Xenopus tropicalis: one gene and its partners. The protein of the gene in region 3 binds, or shares a complex with, the protein of the main gene of each other region. Links are inferred from orthologs where the notes say so. Each region holds a gene or a part of one and is shown on either strand. Other genes may lie near its edges.

The links. Proteins that work in one complex are often made in the same cells at the same time.
Region 1: exosc8 (region 3) and exosc4 share a complex: the UniProt entries of both Homo sapiens proteins name them as parts of the RNA exosome core complex. The link is inferred for Xenopus tropicalis from reciprocal best matches to the Homo sapiens genes EXOSC8 and EXOSC4.
Region 2: exosc8 (region 3) and exosc5 share a complex: the UniProt entries of both Homo sapiens proteins name them as parts of the RNA exosome core complex. The link is inferred for Xenopus tropicalis from reciprocal best matches to the Homo sapiens genes EXOSC8 and EXOSC5.

What each region holds. Positions count from the first base shown.
Region 1 is NC_030682.2:151,308,991-151,313,180, forward strand, and holds the start of exosc4 (exosome complex component RRP41), read right to left. Parts: upstream 2,802-4,190; 5' UTR 2,798-2,801; coding exon 2,627-2,797; intron 1,041-2,626; coding exon 834-1,040; intron 98-833; coding exon 1-97. UniProt on the Homo sapiens protein: Non-catalytic component of the RNA exosome complex which has 3'->5' exoribonuclease activity and participates in a multitude of cellular RNA processing and degradation events.
Region 2 is NC_030684.2:79,502,207-79,506,407, forward strand, and holds the start of exosc5 (exosome complex component RRP46), read right to left. Parts: upstream 2,802-4,201; 5' UTR 2,772-2,801; coding exon 2,684-2,771; intron 1-2,683. Other genes in the region: bckdha (2-oxoisovalerate dehydrogenase subunit alpha, mitochondrial), read left to right, coding at 2,998-3,069. UniProt on the Homo sapiens protein: Non-catalytic component of the RNA exosome complex which has 3'->5' exoribonuclease activity and participates in a multitude of cellular RNA processing and degradation events.
Region 3 is NC_030678.2:151,678,661-151,682,172, forward strand, and holds part of exosc8 (exosome complex component RRP43), read right to left. Parts: intron 3,336-3,512; coding exon 3,230-3,335; intron 2,512-3,229; coding exon 2,466-2,511; intron 1,494-2,465; coding exon 1,397-1,493; intron 1-1,396. UniProt on the Homo sapiens protein: Non-catalytic component of the RNA exosome complex which has 3'->5' exoribonuclease activity and participates in a multitude of cellular RNA processing and degradation events.

The sequences.
Region 1 (4,190 bases), on a different chromosome or scaffold from region 3:
CGCACACGTAGTCGCGCATGGGAATGCCGGCGTCGATCACGGCCAGGGTGGCGGCATTCACACATGTGCAGTAGTTGCCCCCGTCTGCTTGCAGGATCTGGGCAGGGAGAGTCATGTGATCATATCCAGCGCAGCACAACACGGGAGCCAGTATGGCAGCACCAAGATACCACATACATGCACCACTGAGATATCCCCACATAGTGACTCCCAGGAACTACTCTTGGTGGCCAGGGGGATGCTGGGAATTTTAGTACAGCCCAAGGGCCACAGATTGGGGACCACTGACTAAAGGATTTGGGGGGTTCACCTTTAAGTTAACTTTTAGTACGTTATAGAATGGCCAATTCTAAGCAACTTTTCAATTGGTCTTCATTATTTATATTTTTTATAGTTTTTTATCTATTTCCCTTCTTCTTCTGACTCTTTGCAGCTTTCAAATGGGGGTCACTGACCCCGGCAGCCAAACCCTATTGCTCTGTGAGGCTCCAGTTTTATAGTTATTGTTACTTTTTATTCCTTATCTTTCTATTCGGCCCCTCCCCTATTCATATACCAGTCTCTCATTCAAACCACTCCCTGGTCGATAAGGTAATTTGGATCCTAGCAACCAGATAGCTGCTGAACAAGTGAAACAACTAAAAAACTACAAATATAAAAATGAAGACCAATTGCAAATTGCCTCAGAATATCACTCTCATACTAACAGTTTAACTCAAAGGTGAACCTCCCCTTTAAGGTCAATTTAAAGTGAAACAGCCCCTATTTAAGCCCCGCACTATTGTTACAACTTGCCGATGCCCCACCCACTGGCTGATGCCCCTCCCACTCACCTGCACGTAGATATCTATCTGTGAGCGCGGGTACAACTGGGTGAGGATGGCGGCCTCGAACGTCTGCTTTAGGTGCAGGGTCATCTCGCTGGACTTGCGGTCCCCGTGGGGGCGGCGCTTCCTCTCGCCGGTGCTGAAGGTCGCCATACTGTACTGGCAGTTCACCACTGAGCGGTCGTGGAGCATTTTACTGCGAGAGCCGCGGATCTGTGGGCACAGCGTTACGGGCACCGTTACACATGGAACTGGGGTATGGGGGCGGGACTAGCAGTGGGCACAGGCAGCCGTGTGTAGGCAGGGTAAGTATCCCAGCAGCAACCACTTACCCACCCCCATACTGTGCCAACCCCTTACCCACCCACCCCCATACTGTGCCAACCCCTTACCCACCCCCATACTGTGCCAACCCCTTACCCACCCCCATACTGTGCCACCCCTTACCCACCCCCATACTGTGCCAACCCCCCCCATTATCCCACCCCCTACTACTGTGCCACCCCCTTACACCCCCCCCATACTTGCCAACCCCTTACCCACCCCCATACTTGCCTACCCCTTACCCACCCCCATACTTTGCCTACCCCTTACCCACCCCCATACTGTGCCAACCCCTTACCCACCCCCATACTTTGCCTACCCCTTACCCACCCCCATACTGTGCCAACCCCTTACCCACCCCCATACTGTGCCAACCCCTTACCCACCCCATACTGTGCCAACCCCTTACCCACCCCCATACTGTGCCACCCCCTTACCCACCCCCATACCCACCCACCCCCATACTGTGCCACCCCCTTACCCACCCCCCATACTGTGCCAACCCCTTACCCACCCCCATACTTTGCCTACCCCTTACCCACCCCCATACTTTGCCTACCCCTTACCCACCCCCATACTTTGCCTACCCCTTACCCACCCCCATACTGTGCCAACCCCTTACCCACCCCCATACTGTGCCTACCCCTTACCCACCCCCATACTGTGCCAACCCCTTACCCACCCCCATACTGTGCCAACCCCTTACCCACCCCCATACTGTACCAACCCCTACCCACCCCATACTGTACCAACCCCTTACCCACCCCCATACTGTGCCAACCCCTTACCCACCCACCCCCATACTGTGCCAACCCCTTACCCACCCCCACTGTGCCACCCACTTACCCACCCCCATACTGTGCCAACCCCTTACCCACCCCCATACTGTGCCACCCACTTACCCACCCCCATACTGTGCCAACCCCTTACCCACCCCCATACTGTGCCAACCCCTTACCCACCCCCATACTGTGCCAACCCCTTACCCACCCCCATACTGTGCCACCCCCTTACCCACCCCCATACTGTGCCAACCCCTTACCCACCCCCATACTGTGCCACCCACTTACCCACCCCCATACTGTGCCAACCCCTTACCCACCCCCATACTGTGCCAACCCCTTACCCACCCCCATACTGTGCCAACCCCTTACCCACCCCCATACTGTGCCAACCCCTTACCCACCCCCATACTGTGCCACCCACTTACCCACCCCCATACTGTGCCACCCACTTACCCACCCCCATACTGTGCCACCCACTTACCCACCCCCATACCCACCCACCCCCATACTGTGCCAACCCCTTACCCACCCCCATACTGTGCCAACCCCTTACCCACCCCCATACTGTGCCACCCACTTACCCACCCCCATACTGTGCCACCCACTTACCCACCCAAGTAACCCAGCGGTCTCTCCCCTATAGTAATGCCTCTGAGCCATTCAGCCCGTCCGTGTGGCCCCAGCACTCACCTCATGGGGCCCATATACCACAGCCAGGGCCTTGGTGTTCCCCTGCTCGATATAAGCGGAGCCATCGGCCTGAGCGAACACTCCCATCCTGGCCCGTATCTTGCGCAGCTCCCCGGCTTTCCTGCCATCCACCCGGTAGCCCTGGTCCGACAGCAGCTCCAGCCCCGCCATCCCGCACCACGTTCTCACGGTATAAACTACAACTCCCAGAAACCACCGCGCCGCCACTTTCCGTTCCTCTTTCCGGAAGTGTCTGGGTGCCCGCCTCCACGTCACATAAAGGGGCGGTGCCAAAGTGATAGTTACTTCGTGTAGTAGAATTGCGCTTTTACCTCAGTTCGTTACAAGTGGCGCTAATTCCTATTGCTGGTCCCTATGGCGCTATTGTGCGGCCCAGTTGGGCTCTGAGCCATGTTTCCTATTTCACACTGTTATTTTCCCATGTTACTGAGCAGAAACTGTATATATATATATATTATGTTCCCCTGTCACTGTGCAGCCTACTCACCTATGGGTTTTCCCCATAGTAACCAGGAAAGGAACATTCCACTGAGCATTTACATTTTCCCTTTCACTGTAGATTCATAGTACTGACACTGTTACACAGCAAATAATTCCCTCTGCCATTTAACCTTTTATTCTTCAACCAACAAATGTATTTGTAGCTGTAATATTGGCGTGTAGGCGCCATCTCAGTGCCTTGTGCCTGAGTCTGAGCTTTCAGCCAGCGCTACACATTAGAACTGCTTTCAGCTAACCTATTGTTTCCCCTACTCCCATGTAACTGGGGGAGTCCCAAGCCGGACTTGGATTTCTTACTATTGAGTGCTATTCTGATACCTACTGGGAGCTGCTATCTTGCTCCCTTCCCATTGTTCTGCTGATCGGCTGCTGGGGGTGAGGGGGGGGGATATCACTCCAACTTGCAGCGCAGCAGTAAAGTGTGCCTGAGTCTGAGCTTTCAGCCAGCGCTACACATTAGAACTGCTTCCAGCTAACCTATTGTTTCTCCTACTCCCATGTAACTGGAGGAGTCCCAAGCCGGACTTGGATTTCTTACTATTGAGTGTTATTCTGATACCTACTGGGAGCTGCTATCTTGCTCCCTTCCCATTGTTCTGCTGATCGGCTGCTGGGGGGGAGGGGGGGATATCACTCCAACTTGCAGCGCAGCAGTAAAGTGTGCCTGAGTCTGAGCTTTCAGCCAGCGCTACCCATTAGAACTGCTTTCAGCTAACCTATTGTTTCTCCTACTCCCATGTAACTGGAGGAGTCCCAAGCCGGACTTGGATTTCTTACTATTGAGTGCTATTCTGATACCTACTGGGAGCTGCTATCTTGCTCCCTTCCCATTGTTCTGCTGATCGGCTGCTGGGGGTGAGGGGGGGGGATATCACTCCAACTTGCAGCGCAGCAGTAAAGTGAAACTGAAGTTTATTAGGGCTCAGGTCACATGGCTGTGGCACCCTGGGAAATGAAGAATATGGCTAGCCCCATGGGAAAAACAGATTACAATGCAGGATTCAGCGGGAGACGCTCTATTAACTGATGGGTTTTGAAAAAA
Region 2 (4,201 bases), on a different chromosome or scaffold from region 3:
AGGTGGCCATACACCTTACAATTACAATCTTTCCTGCAACCATTTGTCTCAGGAAAGATCGTTCCCACCCTCCACTGGCATTCAGAGTTGAATTGTCAGATATGGAGGTAGAAACAATAAGGATTCTACCTCCACCTGACAATTAAGCCCTAAACACAGATTTTGCTCGTATAAAAGTCTTCTGTCCCGCCCGTTCCACGAGGCGACATATCCGAAGCTTTTGTGATGTTCACCTCGTCGATCCACCATACACACAGTGAATATCGTATGAAACTAGGTGCATCGGTGCATGTATGTCAGCTTTAGTCACATAAAACTACAGTAGCCAGATTACTGCCTGTGTGATATATAAACGAACCTGAATTATGAGTTTTTACCTTTCTTTCTTCTTTAAAGCAATCTCAGCAGGGGCTCAAACACAGCCAATCATAATCACAGATGGCCGTAAGTTCCACTGTGGAAATGGAAAAATTGCCTTTTCAGGCAAAGGCAAAATGACAAGCACCATGGGGGTACTAGAAAAGAACAAGTTTGTGATTTGCTGCTTGTGCAACTTAAGTGAGGCAATGCATTCAATCTACCCATTTTATGCAGTGATCTTATGGTCATGTCTTTAGTTAATGGAGGCTTCTCTGGTTATTTATGCAGTGATTTTACTGGCATGTCTGGATTTTTTTTTTTGGTTTTAGTTTTAATTTTATGATCATGGTATTTTGGGTGTGGTAAAATGTGGGTGCAGTCATACCATGGCAGTTAACTGTGTCCCTCTTTGTAGTTTTCAAATGGCGGGAGGAGCATGGCAGTTAATTGTGTCCCTCTTTCGAGTTTTCAAATGGTGATAGGTATAAAAAGGTGGTGAGTAAAACTGTACACAAGGTGGATAAAGTGATAGGTCTTGATCAATGCAGCTTGGTAGAACAGAGTTGCAGAGAGTTTGGTGTGAATTCTAAGCCACCATGATATACCTGCTTGATATCTAGGTCAATGTGCTTACACCCTTTAGTTTCTTTTTTCCGAATTAATCTATTTTTGTGTGACTGGAGAACTGCATTAAAAATTATACTGCATTAAAAATTATTAACTGGTCAAAATGCTATAAACCACCTAAACATGGTACTGGATTGCTACTTTGTAAGGATAGCTCACATTTTTTGTTGAAACTCATTTCTAATCTTTATTCTAAAATTGAATATGGTGCAGAGCCTAGGAGCCCAAAACTACAAGCCCCTATAGCTATAATACACAAGATTTTCTTTACCAACATTGATCAGTGATGTAATTTGTATAATTTACTGACTAAAACCTCCTCTGTTGTAAAATATGTGGATATTAGAAGCCACCTCAGAGTTCAATGACCTGTATTAAACCACTTGGCCTTTGGTTCTGTGCCTGTATATGGTCATGGCACTCTAAGGAGACTTCCAATACCCTTATATTTTTTAATATGGTGTATATTCCCTATATTTTGGTTTATTTAAATGCGTACACACAGGTATCATAATCACAGTGCTGTACATGACCGTTTATAGCTCTAGAGTAAGAGTATGGTCAGTCTGTCCCCAATTCAATTTGGTGTCCAATATTTTAAAGGACCTTTTCCTAAATAAATATATATGTATTTGTACAAATGAATTGTAATTTTAAGCAGTGTTATAATATGCAGGAATTAAACATGTTAAATGTTTTTTTTTAAGTAATTTCTAAATAAAATTCCAAGAGCAGTTTGTCTGCCTTTGCTATTATTTGCTACCAGACTATAGAAATAATTAAATAAAAAATGTCTCTCCTCACCACCACCTCAGTTCCTACAAATTTGCCTTGTACTATTCTTTTATTTTACTTTGCAGCTGATAATGGCAGAACAAGCAAGGCATTGTGAGATTTGGAGTAGTTAAAGGAACAGTAACACCAAAAAATGAAAGTGTATAAAAGTAATTACAATATAATGTACTGTTGCCCTATATTGCTACAACTGGTGTGTTTGCCTCAGAAAGACTACTATAGTTTATATAAGTTAGCTGCTGTGTAGCTATGGGGGCAGCCATTCAAAGGAGAAAAGGCACAGGTTACTTAACAGATAACAGATAAACCCCCATTATATGGGGCTTATCTACTAGTTATCGGCTACGTAACCTGTGCCTTTTCTCCTTTTTTCCAGCTTGAATGGCTGCCCCCGTGGCTACACAGCAGCTTATTTATATTGTAGCTTTTCTGTAGCAAAAACACCAGTTTTTTGCAGAGCAACAGCACATTATATTTTAATTACTTTAAAACACTTTCATTTTTTGATGTTACTGTTCCTTTAAGAGTAGCTGGGGAAACCAGGAGAGAGTTGCAATAAACAGGCTGAAACTTTTTTCTCAGTAACAATTGTATCAATTTTAAAATCATGAACATTTTTTATTATCCTATATTGGAAAATTGCTTAATTTACAAGTTTGCAGTTCAGCAACCACCTACTTTAGACAAATACAACACATACATTCCCCATTGCTGTCCTCTGCATTATGACAACATGGAAGAGCTGTTCCATTAAATGAGAATAACGGCCACTGGATTTACAATTCAATTTCCATCCAATGATTTAGCCGCAAAACATTTTACGCTTCCCTTCAATATGTATCCCTTGATATCCTCGTATTCCACATAAGATTTGAGGAATTATAGGCGCGCCAAAACTAACCCTGAAGAAACGTAGCGGATCCATCGGGACGGCTCAGCAAACTCTGCTCACACCCGTATTCCCGCAATACAGAACCTACAGCCTCCATCAGAACCTTCTTTCCACATGTGCAAACACTTCCGGGGTCCTTGGGGTCTGGCAACCGCCACACTTGCCTGTATAATTATACACAACAATGCCAAAGCCTTTTTTCCCAGGGAATAATAGGAAATACGCAATTCTCGCAATTTCTCACTTCAGAGGTTATTTTTGACAAGCTGTTGAATAGGGGTCCTAAGAGAAATGTAGGCAGTGGGATAGCATTCCGAAGCAAGATGGCGGCGCTGAGGGCACTTCTAAGGGTCCGGACTGTGGCAGGAGGGTGGAGAGGCGCCGGTGGGAGACAGGTGAGAGGAGTACAGGGGTCGCGTTGGTGTGAGTGAAACAGACGATAATCAGATGGAAGGGGAGTTTAAATGTTTTATTTCTAAATGCGAGACCCTGGTCTTGTATACTGAGAAGTATACACATCTTGTACCATAAGGTACATCGCATCTAAAATACTAGTATGCCTGTCTGACGTATATACATGGGAACTACAAGAACTGTTTGAATTGGGAGATGTGTTTTAAAAGTTATATGCTATAATAAACGTGGGTTATAGTTACAGTTCAGAATTATGTAAAAATATGTGATATTGCTGACTAGATTTGTAAGGAGTCAAATTTACATTTGAATTTACAGCTTATATAGTATATACATTTATATGCTTTAGCCTTAAATAACAGGTTGGTTGATTGTCTGTCCATAAACCAGCTGGTGACAACATTGTTTCAGCTATATAAATAGGAAGAATATGTTTGTATACATACTCCCAAAATGCACACACATATTTCCAGGTATATATTTGTATAGTGCTACTTGTATACACAGCCCTGTACATATCTATATATAAGTATTTGTATAAAATTGCCTGTGCTTTTGATCAGCAGTTCTGGGACTGGAATATTATAGGTTGGAGTATTATAGAAGCAACATTCTAGTAATATTCCTAGTTCTGTACTGTACCACAGTTATTGCTTACACTGTATTGGATTCTCTGTGTTTTTGCATACGGGAAAGAATATATATTTTCAAGGTGTTCTAACTTTTTTTTCATGGTGCAGTGTAAAATGTTTTTAGAAAACATAATTATTTGCAGATACTTGTAGCCTAAATTGTGCTTTTAGTTATGTGATTTAACGGGCAAGACCAAGGTGTTACGCATTAAAGATGTGTGATGCTCTGGTGGGAAAAAAAAATATGGAACCCCCTCCCCCAGCACTATACCATACATTTTGGAGCTGGATTATAATACAATGATAATGTCATGGACAGAAATCAGAGGAGCACTTTGGCCTGTAGGGGAACATAACCTCTTGAAGAGCCCCGTGGTCTGGAGCAAAACTAGATGGTTTTAATTATTACTTATTCTTGCATATTAAATAACTATTACTACAGTTTAATTAGGATATGCCTAGTATTTGTCTGATTTAACAG
Region 3 (3,512 bases):
GACTGTGGCGAGTTCAAGCTTCGCTGTTTGATCATTTTGCCTCATGTTTTTTTCCCTATCCACTCCCACCAGAATGGCCTGGTCTAGGAAAGGACACTTTTGATTTCACTTTAGGATGTGCCCTTACATTAATGTGCAATATTTAGCACCACAACATATGTAGCTTGTAGTAAATACACAGTTCACCACATTAAAGGAGAACTAACTTTTATCTAAAGGAGGAAGGGAGAAACATTGTATATTATATTTTGTATGAGCCAAAGACAGCCACAGCCCTTTAGCAGGGAAGATCTGTGCCCCCAGTAGCCCCCATCTTCTTTTCTGCTGATTCCCAGCACATGCTCTGTGCTGCTGTCACTTACCTGAGCTTAGGGACCCACTCACACTATACTGTATATATAGAATATAAACTGCGGCTGAACTATAAAGGAAGCAGACCTCAAGGGGGACATGACCACAGGGTTTGCTTTGTCTGTAGCCTAGAGATCCCACCCCCAGCCACTCATTTAAATATTTATGCAGGACCACAAGAGCATGCCGGGCCCCCGCCCCCCCACATTTTTTTTCTTTTGAGAAGGGGGGCCACTGCTGAATATAAGTATAACAATATAAGACTGATTAGTATACAATAAAAATTATTAGTATGTCATCTCAGAAACTAGTGCAATTACCATCAGCTTATATTACAGACAAACCTCATTTTCTGCTTGATAATTTAGCTGCTCAGAGCACACTGAGCATGTGCAGTGTCACTGACACTTCTAACAAAATCAAAGATGTAGGAGCTTCTGTGCATAACTTTAAAGGGATCATTATAGAGATGCTGAACCTTTAGGCTGGTGCAATAAGTTCAATACATATAATTTGGCATTTCTAGCTATATTCATTTTTATGGTTTAGTTCTACTTTAAAGGTAAACTAAAGCTTAACATAGAAGTAGGGTAAAAATGTTGTACATTATGTTTGGGGGTTTGTACCAGCCCAAGGCAACCCCAGCCCTTTAGCAGGGAAGATCTGTGTCTCATAAAATGCCATTTTTTTTTCTGCTGATACACTGAACATGTAACTTCCTTATAATTTAATAATCAGCCCTGTAGCACCAGGTTATATGACAGACAAACCTTATAATTTGCAACAACCGCTAACTGGAAAAGTTCAATAGGGAGGTTTTGGACAGCCAGACCTAGATAATGGAATGGATTGCATAAGCAATGCAAAAACGTCAAACTGAGCCAGTCTGCTCTGGGGGTATATTTGGTATTAACATGAATCTCAGACATAATAATAAACAAGTGATTCCCACTGAGGTTTAGTGGCAACAGGACTTGCAACAGCTGTACAGCACTTCATTCTTACCCTGTACCCTCAAAGACTGTTTCACTGAACAATGACTTACCATTCTGTAAAGCAGCAACCAAAGCACACATGCAAGTATCAAGAAGGTTTCCATCGTAATCGAGACATATGAGATCACAGTACAGAACCCATGCTAGCTAGAGAGGGGAAAGAACAAAAATAAGTCAAAGGGGAACTATACATTTAATATTAAAGTATAACCAATAGCTCATTTATAGTCCACTAGGTCACCTTTCAAAAAATTAAACTAAATTGGCATATACATATCAGTATATAATGCCCTTTATAAATTTTACCTTACATGTAAACCCTACATTTTCCTACCATGTATATAAGTTGGACACAACTCCCCCACCCACACCGCATCATTTGTATTACATATATCCCTCTGTTTGCCAGCACCATCAATTTTCCTAAAACAAATAGCAGCTTTCACCCAGCTGCAATTTTCCCTCTGGCAAATCATCAGTGACATTTATATCTGTAAACAGCATGTGTGCTGCAAAGTTCATAAAATCAAAAATGCAGGCTTACACAGGCAGAACTTAAAAAACAATTCTGCGTGTTTCTCCAGCAGAATGTACAGCTAGAGCAGAGTTTCTATGGAAACTGGTGAGTGCAGGGCCCCCGCTGGCCACATCTCCTGCCACGCACCCTAACCCCCCCCCCCCCCCCGCCGCAGGGGCCCCTAACGTCCTCCCCTGAGCATGCCTAAGTGAAATGCGTCAGTGGTTTTTTCCCGGTGTCCCGGCTGCCCAGTCCAACCCTGATTAAGATTAGGACTGTACCAAATCCACAATTTCTGGATTTCGACAAATACCGCATTCTCCAAACAAGAATCAGCTGAATACCAAACCAAATCCATCTAATTTGCCTATGCGTATTTAAGAAAAATAACAACAGTGCATTAATTGTGACTTTCTCTAAGTGTTTCGGAACAGCTGAACACCTAGAATTTGGCTGAATCCAAATCCTGCATCCTGATTTGGGGCATCCATTCCCATACAGATATGTAATAATGCAATGGCCGTTTGCCCCTGCAAGCATCACCAAAATACATTCAATAACTATTAAAAACCAAACGCCTGTTTGTATCACTTGATCCATACCTTGCCATGTGCGATGCACAAGTCTTCTTTCAGGAGCATCTGGGAACTGAACACATGTTAAAGATTACATGGACAATTGTTTCATCTCTTGTTTTTCCTGTTTCAGTATTGCTTGTATTAATAATGAAAACCAGCTACAACAGGCAATATACACTCAATACTCTTGTTTGGTGGGTCACCAAATGAACAAATCTTTGGCCAATTGGCCACCCAAGTGGTAAATAAAAAGAGGGGTGATCTAGCCATGTGGCCCTTGCAGAGCCTTTTTCCACAGGTTTTCTCTGGTGCCTGTGATTCATGTCGGAGACTTTCCTTATTGATATATCTACCATAAGTCACGAATAAGTCAGGCTACAACCTGACGTGGGAAAAGTTTATATCTTCAGTAAGACTAATTATGACACATCCTATAATACTGATACTGACAAATTTCAATTATACAATTGAGTTAGTAAAATAAGAACCCCCAACAAAAGCAATTGTGGGCTCTTATACCCCTATACCCTCATTGTTTAGGTTTAGATCCATAGGTCACACTGGGCTGGGGGCAGCCCAATTATCTGACAGAGTACAATTTAAATCTGTACCCCACCCAGTTGGGGCACTGTGCTGCCCTTAGCCCAGTATGACTGAGGATGACAGTCTGCACAGAAGATGCCAAAGTGGTTATTGCAGGGCTGGGGGTTACTAATGGTTTTTTATATTATTATTTAGTGACACAGGAACATGATCATCACTTTGTTCACAAACAACCATCATCTTACTTGTCAATAACATCTGCTATGAACTGACTGGCAACTTGAGCCTCTTCCCCTGGGGGACCAGGCCGAAACTGAGAGGAGCACAAGGGTGTAAGATCCACATTTGGAACTGGAAATGGAAAAAAGAGATATCTCTGTCAGCACAAAAGAAAAATTCCCTTAAAAGATAACTATAAGCTGCAGAATAACTGTGCTTAATACAGGACAATACTTATACTGGTATAGCTCTATGACATCTCTGTAAAGGCTGCCACAAACTTCCCTATCACCCCCAGTCCCTTCCATT